3 linked regions of the Oryzias latipes genome follow. The protein of the gene in region 1 interacts with the protein of each later gene in a pairwise test. Links are inferred from orthologs where the notes say so. Each region holds a gene or a part of one and is shown in the gene's direction. Other genes may lie near its edges.

Region 1 (3,213 bases):
CGCCTTTGTTCATACAGACACGTAACGTTACGCAAACAAAACATGTAGTGATATTCATGGAAATCTAACGGTGCACGTTCATGTTTGGTGTTACAGAGTGAAGGAGAACAGTAACAACCCCCCCCCCCCAACACAAAATCCTCCGGCGGGCGTCTATGTCGCGCACTCAAGAACGCACCCAGCTTGTAATGGAAATGAATACAATGGAAATTAATGATTAGAACGCAGTAAATTTGTCGTATTTCCTCGCGAGAAGGAAATTTCTGTTGTAGAATGAGGATGTGTGTGCTGCTGAAACCTCATGTGTGTGTGTGTGTGTGTGTGTGTGTGTGTGTGTGTGAGTAGAGTGAGCGCGTGCAGCGTAGAGGGAGTGAAGGAAAACAGAAATGAAAGGTTCCCCCCAGAAACCCTTGAAGTCTGAACACAGGACTAGAAAAAGTAAATTATCAGCAAAGATGAACGTGTTTAATTATAGTTCCAATCATCATATGCAGAACTTTCAGAAAAAAAATAATAAAAACTTTCAAATTAAAAAAAGGTGCTGTGATGAGGTCATCACCGCGGTGATGAGGTTATCGTCACACCCCTACCTGAGACCTTTGTAGACGCCAACAGCAATGCAAACGCAGCAGCTTAGTTTGGTCAGAATGTGGTGAAAAGTCCGTCTTCTGCCTGTCAGGTGAGCTTTCCTGCGGCTCCTGCGTTTGCCTTGTCGTCTGTTTTCCATGTCTTTGTTTGGCTGTCATGCTGTTTCCTGTGTTTCTGCACGTTTTGATGGTTTGTTTCTGTTCTTTCTCCTCCACCGCTTTCCCTCGAACCCTCAGATTTAGAGACCTCAGTGGACAGTCGCTGCACTACGGACAGTGCCGACAGTGCCTTTTTTGGCCGCCGTTATTGATCGCCGGCTTCCCCCTTTCTATCAGTTCCCTCCCCGGGTCGTCCTCTTCGGTCCTGCTTCAGCCCGGAAGTAAGCTTTGTGATCAGACTGCAGGACAAACGGGAGAAAGATGCTTTTCTTTCCCTTCTGTCGTGTTGAAGTTCTGATCCATCCCTTCTGTGAATGTTCTGGCTGAGCTGCACCAACAGAGGTTCTCCTCTGTAGAGAGTCTGTGTTGGGACTGCATGTTGGCACCAGGGGGGCTGCAGCACTAAATGAGCTGCTGAGCTGAGACGGCCGTCCTGCCGTCATGCGGCGTCGGCTCATTCGGGAGCACGACGTGGTTTAAAGAAGCAAAACCAACATTTCGTTTCCGTGAGGCCCTTCTCACCTGTCCTCATTACCGTTTTAGGCTCTCTGTTGGTGTTTATGTCTGCAAGTATTACTGATATTTTATTCAGAGATGGTCTCCAGACGCCTCATTTGTGTTCGTGTGTTGTGTGTTTTTGGGTTTCCTTGTATGTACGACTCTGAAATGAGCCTAATTAAAATCCAAATAAGGTTGGCTCATAATTGAAAGTTAATGGGAAGCAGTTGCATGCGCATAAATGACTCAGAAACCCTTCAAACATGCAGCATTCATATTCTGAGCAGAGTCTCAGGTGTTCATGCAGCTCTGGAACGTCCGCCACAAAAACAGAGTTTATTAGAAGGAGCTGCATTTCCAGAAGAAACAGCAGGGTTGATGCTATACTGCTGAATGAAAATGAAACTTAAAGAATAACATTTGTCAAAAAACAAAAAAAGAGTAAATAAATAAATGATCAAAGTTGATCATAAATAAAGTGAAAACAGCACAATAACAAAAAAATATTTGTGAAAAATGCCAGAGCCGGGTATCGAACCAGCGAGCTTCTGCTCCAAGGATTCCCCTTTATTTCAATGGAGGCAGAAATCCTGGAATATCTGGAAAAGTTCAAGGATTTGAAGGAGCAAAAATCACAGCTGGAAAAAGATGAAATAGCTGAACATTTGAATAGTTGAATGGTTAAAATAGATGAAAAATTGTAGAAAGATACTAGAATAAAGAAAGAGAAGTCTGTGGGAGGAAGTGGAATTAAAAATGATGAAACTCTAGCAAAAATGTTTCTAGATTTCAGCAAAAAGCCGGAGTCCAAAGACCAGATTGTTTGAATGAGGGTAATATTTCCAAATAACGCCTTTTCGCTGCCTTGTTGCTGCTTCCCTGCAGGTTTTCCCTCGGTATCACGGAACAGAGAAGCCTATCAGTCCATCGACCAGCAGGACGAGTCGTCCAGCCCACCAAACCCCTTCAACCAGGCCCAGGACACCACCCGACCAGGAGTCCGCACGTACTGAGCGCCGCCGGACGCCAACCGCGCAGCCTTCTCTCTGACTTTATATGCAGCGACGGGCGACGAATGTGTGCAAAACCCCACAAATCCTTCTGGTGAATAAATACTTGGGGTGAACTCTTCATCTTCCAGTGAATGTCGTGTTTTCAGGAGGAAATCTGAACCTCCTGCTGCTCGTCTGCTGTTACCAACGCGATTCCAGTCAAGCTGTCAAGTAGATTATTTTTTACGTGGCATTTACAGACGGTTACAGACAGTTCTGTGAGTTATAGTCGTACCTTTTTGCAGTATTTTATGACTATTTTGCAGAAACTCTTTGCTTTAACAAACTGAAATAAATGTTTGACCGAAAACTCAGCGTTTGGGGTTTGAATCCTTGGACCAGAACGGAAACACTTCAGTAATGTTGATGCTGCACAAACACATCTGCCGCTCTGCACATCCCAACACAGAAACACTCCATTTCCCAGCGTGCTTAGCGTCTCAGCGAATAACTCATCCGTTTTTCTCAATGGAGCCGTTTGACAACATTTACGGCTTTTATTCTGTGAAACCTGGAGATTCCTGCTTTTCGTTTTGGTTTTTCTTTCTTTTATTATTTTTCAAAACAAATGTTTATATTTTGAGTAAATGATTTGGCTTAGATATTCTTTATTTACTACATTTTTGACATTTCTCTCTTTCCAAAACTCCGACATGACGGCGGTTTTTGATAATGTAACCTTTAAACCTTTATGAAGATCATTTAGGATTTGATCTAGTTTGAATTTAGCAGTTTTTAGGATGTTTGCAGCTCTCATTATTCTGTTGGTTTAAAACATTTTTGACATTTTAAAAAAAATCATATTTTAGCCTTTTTTAAACCAAATTTGAGTGTAAATTATCTTCACCTTTTTAGAGTTTTTTTTTAAGGCAGATGTAGAATTCAGTTTGTAGGTTTAAAGGTTTATGAACTGCTTC
Region 2 (3,754 bases), on another chromosome or scaffold:
CGGCTTTGTGCTGTGCCTTTTGGAAGAAAGGGTCAAATGTGTCGGGGAAACGCATTGCTTTGTCATGTAAAAATACAATGTGCTAACTAACCCTTTAAGATCACCCACCTTAATGAGATCTTCTGCTCAACTATGTGCATGTACAGTTCTTTAAAGGTTTGCTAGCCTGTATATTTATTTGGATTGATCCTATAAAAAAAGAAGAATTTTGTGAAATACTTGTGCTCGTGTTTGGTGTTCTTGTCCACCTTTATGTGTTGTGTGTCAAATTGATTTTCATCCTGGCTTTGGTGACCCTTGGTGATGCTGATTCTGTTCCTTTTCCACAACAATTGCCATGTTTGCATGAGGGTTATTTGTTATTCAAATCACACCTATCCACAAGAGCAGCAGTGTCCGGACCTGGTTGAAGAGAAAGGACGTGATTCATGAGAAGTTCTGGCCAGAAGAAGAAGAAGTCAAAATGAGATCTTTATGTGAACCATTTAATATTCTATCCCCCTCTTTTATGCAAACACTTGCATTTAACACATGTAGACTTACTAGAAAAGTATTGGGGTTTTTTTTGTAGTAGAAATGAAGACCTGATTAATTAGGAGTTTTTGTGCCAAACAATTTACTTTAAATTAATAAAGCACCAAGCAATTATTGTTAACATATATTTATACCACTCAATTTATTTACACAGAACATAATTACTTTTGTAAAGAAGTAAAGTCAGTGTAGAATATGTTACCATCCTGATTCATGACTAAACACGCGGCAGTAGAGGTCTTTTGCGCCCTCTACTGTCAATAAGCTTCAACTGCAGAGAAACGCTTTAAAACCATTGTCCAGCTCAGAAAGCTGTACACATGTACATTGTAAAAACTGTTTGCTTTTAAAAACTGTAGATTATAATTTTCTTATAATTGCAGCCTAAGAGGCTTAATTTGAATTGGATTACCAATACAAACATAATTATTTTTCACCTTTATTTTAGCTGTCAGTTTCTTCTCAAGTTACCAAAAGGTAACTGATCTTCACTTACTGACAAATGTCCAGATGGACACACACATCAGAAAGATTTGGGCAACACTCGTCGCTGAGATCTGGCGGGCTAGAGACAAAAACAAGGCAAACGTCATGCACTGTCACTCTTCCACCAGCAGATGGCAGCAGAAGGTCGTTTGCTTTTACTGTAGCTCTGCCAAGGTCATGAAATATATATATTTTTATGTTTATTTGTCTAAAATAATTCCTGCTCTCACCAATGTTATTGCCTTTATTTTAAGAGCAGTTCCTGAAAAGCCCTTTCAGCTTTTGAGAGTCCGTTAAAAAGCTTTGTTTATCTCGTGAAGCAACGTGACCCCGCCTCTCCGAGGGTTTAGCTCCTCCTGTAAACAGACGAAGAACGTCCCAGAGAAGCAAACCAGAGCTGTTTAGAACTACGGTTGAACCAATCTGCAACACGATTTTCCCTCTCTGCAGTCCTAAAGAGGGTGCTATTGTTTTTTAAAAAAATAACAGAAAGGACCTATTTACAAAATGTGGTAAATACTTCAGATGAATGAATCATTTTTATTCCCTTTTCTTTATCGTTTGCCGGATCTCGGTGGTGGAGTAGGTTGCGTCAATAAAGGGCTCTGGCAGCTACGTAAAGTTAGTAAATAAGGGGTTGACCTCGTGGTGTCAGACAAACTGGATTAAGGTCTACCAGCCGCAGCGTCTGCTGCAGGCTAAGGACTGCTCACAGACCTGCAACTCCTGCTATTAAAGAGCCATTTCACGGCAAAACAACTACCCTCTTCGCATCTGTGTTATATAACTCGAGGGGTACGTTTGATTCGAGTCGCCAGGATCGTCCTGCCTAAGTTCGACAGCCTCGGAGTGGAGAGCAGCAGCAGCAGAAACCCTTCGATAGCTGCTGGTGAGTTCTTTGCACCGAAGCATGCATTATTATTATTGTACATGCAAAATAGATGTCTTTATTTCCACCTGGTTGCTGTGCAAAGGGAAACTAGCGTTTTAATTTCCAACTGGTTCCACGCAGAAAGTAACCCTTGGTGGTCAGTCAGCGTGCTGACGTGCCTCATTAATGGCGGCTATTCTCTGGCTGCTGTACTTGTGCAAAACTTATGGAGTGGCCATCGTGGGAAAAAATACCAAAATGGTTAGAGTTGACGTAAGAGACAAAAAAGTATTTAATTTTGGGTTTAGAAAGGGCTACTTCCGTTACGTTAGCATGAAGCAGAAGTGTAGCTTTGGGGCTAGCCGCTGAAGCTTTGACAAGATAATATAGATTTTTTTAATAATTAGTTTTATGATTAAGGCCTTTTGTTGTACTTTTTTTTCTTTCTTTTTTTCATCAAAAAATTATATAGTCCACATATTTATCTCATTAATTTAATTCACCATAAGCTTCTCTTGTAGACTTATCTGTTTTATTCTGTGCAACATGTTCTTTGAGACTTTTTTTAAAAAAATGTAATTTTATTGTGATTCTTATGGGTGTTTTTTAAATACATTTTTGTGACATTATGTGTTGTTATTATTTTTAATTTTTTTTTTTTGGATATTTTTTTTTTTTTTTTTTTTTTTAGTGTTTCTGTGAGAAAAGAAAAACTAATTATTATTATTATAAATGCATTGGCTGCCAGACCCGACTGCAGGCCCAATGTGTCTGTGATTATCACTATATTATCATTATTATTATTGTTATTGTTGTTATTATTATTGTTATTACTGTTATTATTATTATTATTATTATTATTATTATTATTATTATTAAGGACCTTAGTCTACATAGGAGACGGGCATAAAAGGACTCCATCTTATTGGTCAAATGCATAAAGGGATTTATTTGATTCATTAAATGCTTAAAGCTGTCATAAGATTGTTTTAGCTCATTTAAGGTAACCATTTATTGCAATTTTCACCAACCTTTTCAATATGGACATTGCCCAGCTTGATATTGCAATAACGATAAATTTGCTATTTATTGTGCATACCTAATGTGCGTGTGTGTGTGTTTATATCTAGATATACGCACACTCACACACAAAACAAATCCATCAACGGTATCATGAGGAAAGAGGTGTTTTTTTTTAATACGTGTAGATCTGGATGGGAGTTACTCTTGTATGTTACCACATGTGCATTGGGGAACGTGATTTCCTTCACATTTCCTGCATGGATGATGGTGACGCTTCTCCTTCTGCTGCTGCTGCTGCTGCTGCTGTGGCTCACCACTCCACAGTTACCGCAAACGTTTCCCACATTTGGCTCCGAGTCTGTAAAGGTTGGTGATGTTACGCTGTCAGGAAGCCATGAGGTGTACTTCTTTCAGCCGCTGGCTAAAGCCGCATGGCTGTTCCCATAATAGCAGTGTGACAGCAGCCTGTGCAGCAGATGACAGCTGAGGCTTAGATCTCTGTATGTTTGTGAAGTCTGGGTTCCACAATAATACCATGTTACAATGCAGTTATATAAATACATAAACAAAAAGTGCCTGCGGTTCTCCTCTATATTAGACAGGGGGTTTCTAGCCACCCATCAATAGGAAATTGCTAAAAAAACAAAAACAAGACCACAATTGAATAGCAATTACTTCCTTTATTGTTGTTTAGCTTTACATATAGATCTGTTGATAAGTGATCAGAAAAAAAAAAATTAGGTTGAATTTCTTTTTATTAAAATGTGCTAGAGGCACATACTTGTATAATTAATTAACAATAAATTGATTGTAAAAGGTGGTATCTTTAAAAAAAAACAC
Region 3 (3,654 bases), on another chromosome or scaffold:
TTAATTGGACGGTGGGAGGAAGTCGGAGAAAACCCACACATGCACGGGGAGAACATGCAAACTCCAAACAGAAAGGTCCCCCATTGATGTTCTGTTTGAGGTCCCCCAGCCGGGACTTGGACCGGAGGCATTCTTGCTGTGAGGCAAGAGCGCTAACCACTACGCCACCGTGCAGCCACGTCATCCGCATATCATTACAAAATCCGAGTTCCTGATTGATTCAAGTTCAACACTCATTCAATGCACGCACGTTTTGTACAAAGAGCTCAAAAAAAAAAAAACTGTCTTAGAAACTTGCATAGCTACGTATGAAGGTATAGATTTGTCATTGGAAGTGATGGCTTGAATACGCGTTGCCGAGGGCGATCTGAACATAGCTTCACATAAGACTATGGAGCTTTTTCTCCTGCAAAAATGAGGGCTGCAGCTTATATATTTTTTTCATTGTTGGTTTTCTTTAAATTTTCAGTCAAATCATTAGATTTTAAAATAATAGTTTGTCATAACGACTGTAAATAGTTACACTGATTTTCAAAATGTATTTTTTTTAACGTTTTTTGTTGCATGAAGATAAAAAAAAAAAACCTTTTTAAAAAAAAAAATAAAACCAATTAAAATGCACCGTATTGACAATAGAGCAGATAGTCACAGCTGTTCTAACAGGACTGAGATTTGTATGTTTATTATGTGGTTATAAGAAATTTTTCATCAGTAAAATGAACAGTTGAAGCATCGTATTTTTCCATGAACGTACCTGACAGCCCAAAGGACGCTGCAAAAATGAGGCGTTGGGCTCAGCGGCTTCTTACACTCTTTAAAGTGATCTATAAACAAAGTTTGATCAGCAAAACATCCAATGGTGCAAATATGAAATGTCAAACTTTGACTTGTACTCCATTTTCTGTCAGATGTTAACTTTTTTTTGTTTCAGAGGTCATTATGGTTACTTTTTTAACCATAATGACTGTTTTAATCAGGACATTATATATTAAATAAATTTTAAGTGGAAAAAAAAACAGCTTCTAAAGCTTCAAGGCCAAAACCCCTGAGGAGTCACCTCAGGACGTTGCTGTTTTCCACCAAACTTGTGTTTGTGTCGTCAGACCGTTTGCGCAGAGCTGTGGGTCGCTCTGCAGTTGGAGGAAGTGGCGCCTGTCAGTCGGACCTGCAGCGAGCTCGCATGCGCCTGTCCCTGCAGGAGCGTCTGTGGGAGTTCTACCAAAAGCACGTCAACATCCCGGCAGAGGAGCAGACGGTAGCCAGGAGGGCGGCGCTGGACATCTGTGCGGAGCTGAGAGTGTTCCTTCACGCCAAGCTGCCCGACATGCCGCTCAGAGAGATGTACCTCAGTGGAAGCCTGTACGACGACCTCCAGGTCTGCACTCGCTTCACTTCTCCATCATTTCCCTCATTTGGTTGGGATTGAAACTTTATTGTCCTCTCAGGTGGTGACAGCGGACCACGCCCAGCTGATGGTGCCTCTCGTCTTGGAGAAGAATTTGTGGTCGTCTATCCCAGGAGAGGACACGATCATGAACGTCCCGGGTTTCTGGCTCGTCCGCAGGGAAAACCTGGAATATTTTCCGAGGAATAGCAGCTACTGGGACCGCTGCATGGTCGGAGGTTACCTCTCCCCTAAATCTGTCCTTGAAGTCTTTGATAAGCTCGTGGGCTCCATCAACTGGCCGGCTATAGGGAGTGTCCTGGACTACATCATCCGTCCCGTGGTTCCCTCTGAGACTTTGACCCTGGAGGTCCAGTACGAGACGGACCGGACTCTGTACGTGGACTTCCTGCCTTTGCTGGTGATGGGGGATGGAACCTCGCTAATTGCCAAACCACACCGGCTCGCTGCAGAGCGCCACGAAAACCTGTGGCGGCAGAGCTTCCGCGTGGCTGAGACGGCGCGCCTCCGGGCTCTGGATCAGGAGGACGGAGGCTGCCGCTCCACCTGCCTGAAAGTGGCAAAGGCCGTGTGCAAGCTCCACCCTGCCCTCCACCGGCTCAACTCCAGCCAGCTCACCAACGCCATCCTACTGCTGAGTGAGAAGGAGGGGGACTGGACCCAGGAAGCGCTAGCCGACCGCTTCCTTCAGCTCCTGCGGGCTCTAGTGGGACACCTAGAGGCTGGGAGGCTCCCCTGCGCCCTAAGCCCCAAAGTTAACTTGTTTTGTGAGCTAACTGAGCAGGAAGTAGACGAGCTGGGGTACACGCTGTACTGCGCTCTGTCCGAACCTGAGGGGCTGCTGAAAACGACGCAGTGAGAAAACCCATGCATGGAAACGCCCCCATTCCTTATGGAAAACCGCTGTCCTGATCCTGTGCAGCCACATGTTTAAGACCGTAACAGTGTTTTCACTCTGTGACACAAATGTTTTCATCCTATAGATGTGGGTGGGCATCCTTAAAGCCATTGTATTATCAAGTACAGAGGCGGGGCGCCAACTACTGGAAAAAGGTAGCTAGCAGGGGAAATTGGGTAAGGAGGATTTCTGGGTCAAAGTTCATGAAAAGGTTGAGAACTCCTGAAAGAAAGGAATCATCAGTGATCCACACACTGAAGGATTTCTGAAATCTTACTCGGTAATGCAGCTGCTGAGCTCACATCTGCTGCCTGCATTATTGAAACATAGAAAAAGGACGCACCTACAAATAAAGAGCAGCCCCATGCTGTGAGAGGTGGAGCCAACTGTGGAATGATGGGAAACGGTGCAGCACTTCATTGTGTTTTTTCACAACTGGTGTTGTACTCGTGGCATTTTTCCAGGAATTGACCATAGAAATGTGGAGTCATGCTGCTGGGTTTTTTGCTTTAATTTCCTCCTTGCTCTAAAGTTGTCTTCAGGAGGCGGAGTTTTCTCACTAAATGATTTTGACTCTGAAGTTTGAAGAGGCTTGAGCGCCAAGGAGCTCAGCTGTGATGGGTTTGTGCGTTAGTCTCATTAAGTTAAGCTGGAGTTTGCTCTCAGAATAGTACGGTGCACTCTGCACGTGAAACCCTGATCGGCTCATACCCAGCAGCCAGACGGGAACCAGGTACTGGTTATGTAACTACAGCTACTTCAGCCAAACTTTCTGTTCAGATTTCAACTCAGTCGAAAAGTCGTTTTTGTGAAAACGTCAAGAATGTCCTGGTTTCTTTTCCCATTTAGTGAAAATATTTACAAAAAAACATCCAGAGATAAAAATCCTCTAACTCCCAACTCAGTGGTCTGTATGGTTTCTGTGCAATTAGTCATCAATATGATGGAGAGGTAAATATTTTTCTATTTATTATGCATTTGTAACCAAAAAGATGCTATTTATTTTCACTGTACCTGTCCAGTGTAAGTGCTTTGTTCTGGCTGTACCAATATAACGCGATCATACAGAATATTTTGTCCTGTCAAACATCAGATCCTCCTGAGTGTCGGGGTAGCAGGGGTATCACTGTGCCACACGATGGAAAAGCAGCTGCTGGGACGGCAGACGGCCACACGCTGGGGTGCACGTCAGTCTGCCGTCAGTCCAGTCGCTTCTTTTTTCCTCTACAGGAAATTGCTTGAAAACTGGATCAGAGTTGAATAAACACATCAAATTACAAAGTGAGAAATGTTGACTTTTATTGTATTATGTGACAATTCCACCTGAAAAAAAAACCCCAACCTCAGATTT

What was found.
Region 2: the proteins of agtrap (region 1) and coq8a interact in binary tests that used the Homo sapiens proteins (3 or more experiments, as listed by UniProt). The two-hybrid records come from large-scale screens. The link is inferred for Oryzias latipes from reciprocal best matches to the Homo sapiens genes AGTRAP and COQ8A.
Region 3: the proteins of agtrap (region 1) and mief1 interact in binary tests that used the Homo sapiens proteins (3 or more experiments, as listed by UniProt). The two-hybrid records come from large-scale screens. The link is inferred for Oryzias latipes from reciprocal best matches to the Homo sapiens genes AGTRAP and MIEF1.

What each region holds. Positions count from the first base shown.
Region 1 is NC_019863.2:32,256,337-32,259,549, reverse strand, and holds the end of agtrap (type-1 angiotensin II receptor-associated protein), read left to right. Parts: intron 1-824; exon of another isoform or gene 825-967; intron 968-2,129; coding exon 2,130-2,257; 3' UTR 2,258-2,610; downstream 2,611-3,213. UniProt on the Homo sapiens protein: Appears to be a negative regulator of type-1 angiotensin II receptor-mediated signaling by regulating receptor internalization as well as mechanism of receptor desensitization such as phosphorylation.
Region 2 is NC_019882.2:16,026,273-16,030,026, reverse strand, and holds the start of coq8a (atypical kinase COQ8A, mitochondrial), read left to right. Parts: upstream 1-1,522; 5' UTR 1,523-1,909; intron 1,910-3,754. UniProt on the Homo sapiens protein: Atypical kinase involved in the biosynthesis of coenzyme Q, also named ubiquinone, an essential lipid-soluble electron transporter for aerobic cellular respiration.
Region 3 is NC_019866.2:18,852,506-18,856,159, reverse strand, and holds the end of mief1 (mitochondrial dynamics protein MID51), read left to right. Parts: intron 1-1,103; coding exon 1,104-1,375; intron 1,376-1,445; coding exon 1,446-2,264; 3' UTR 2,265-3,584; downstream 3,585-3,654. UniProt on the Homo sapiens protein: Mitochondrial outer membrane protein which regulates mitochondrial fission/fusion dynamics.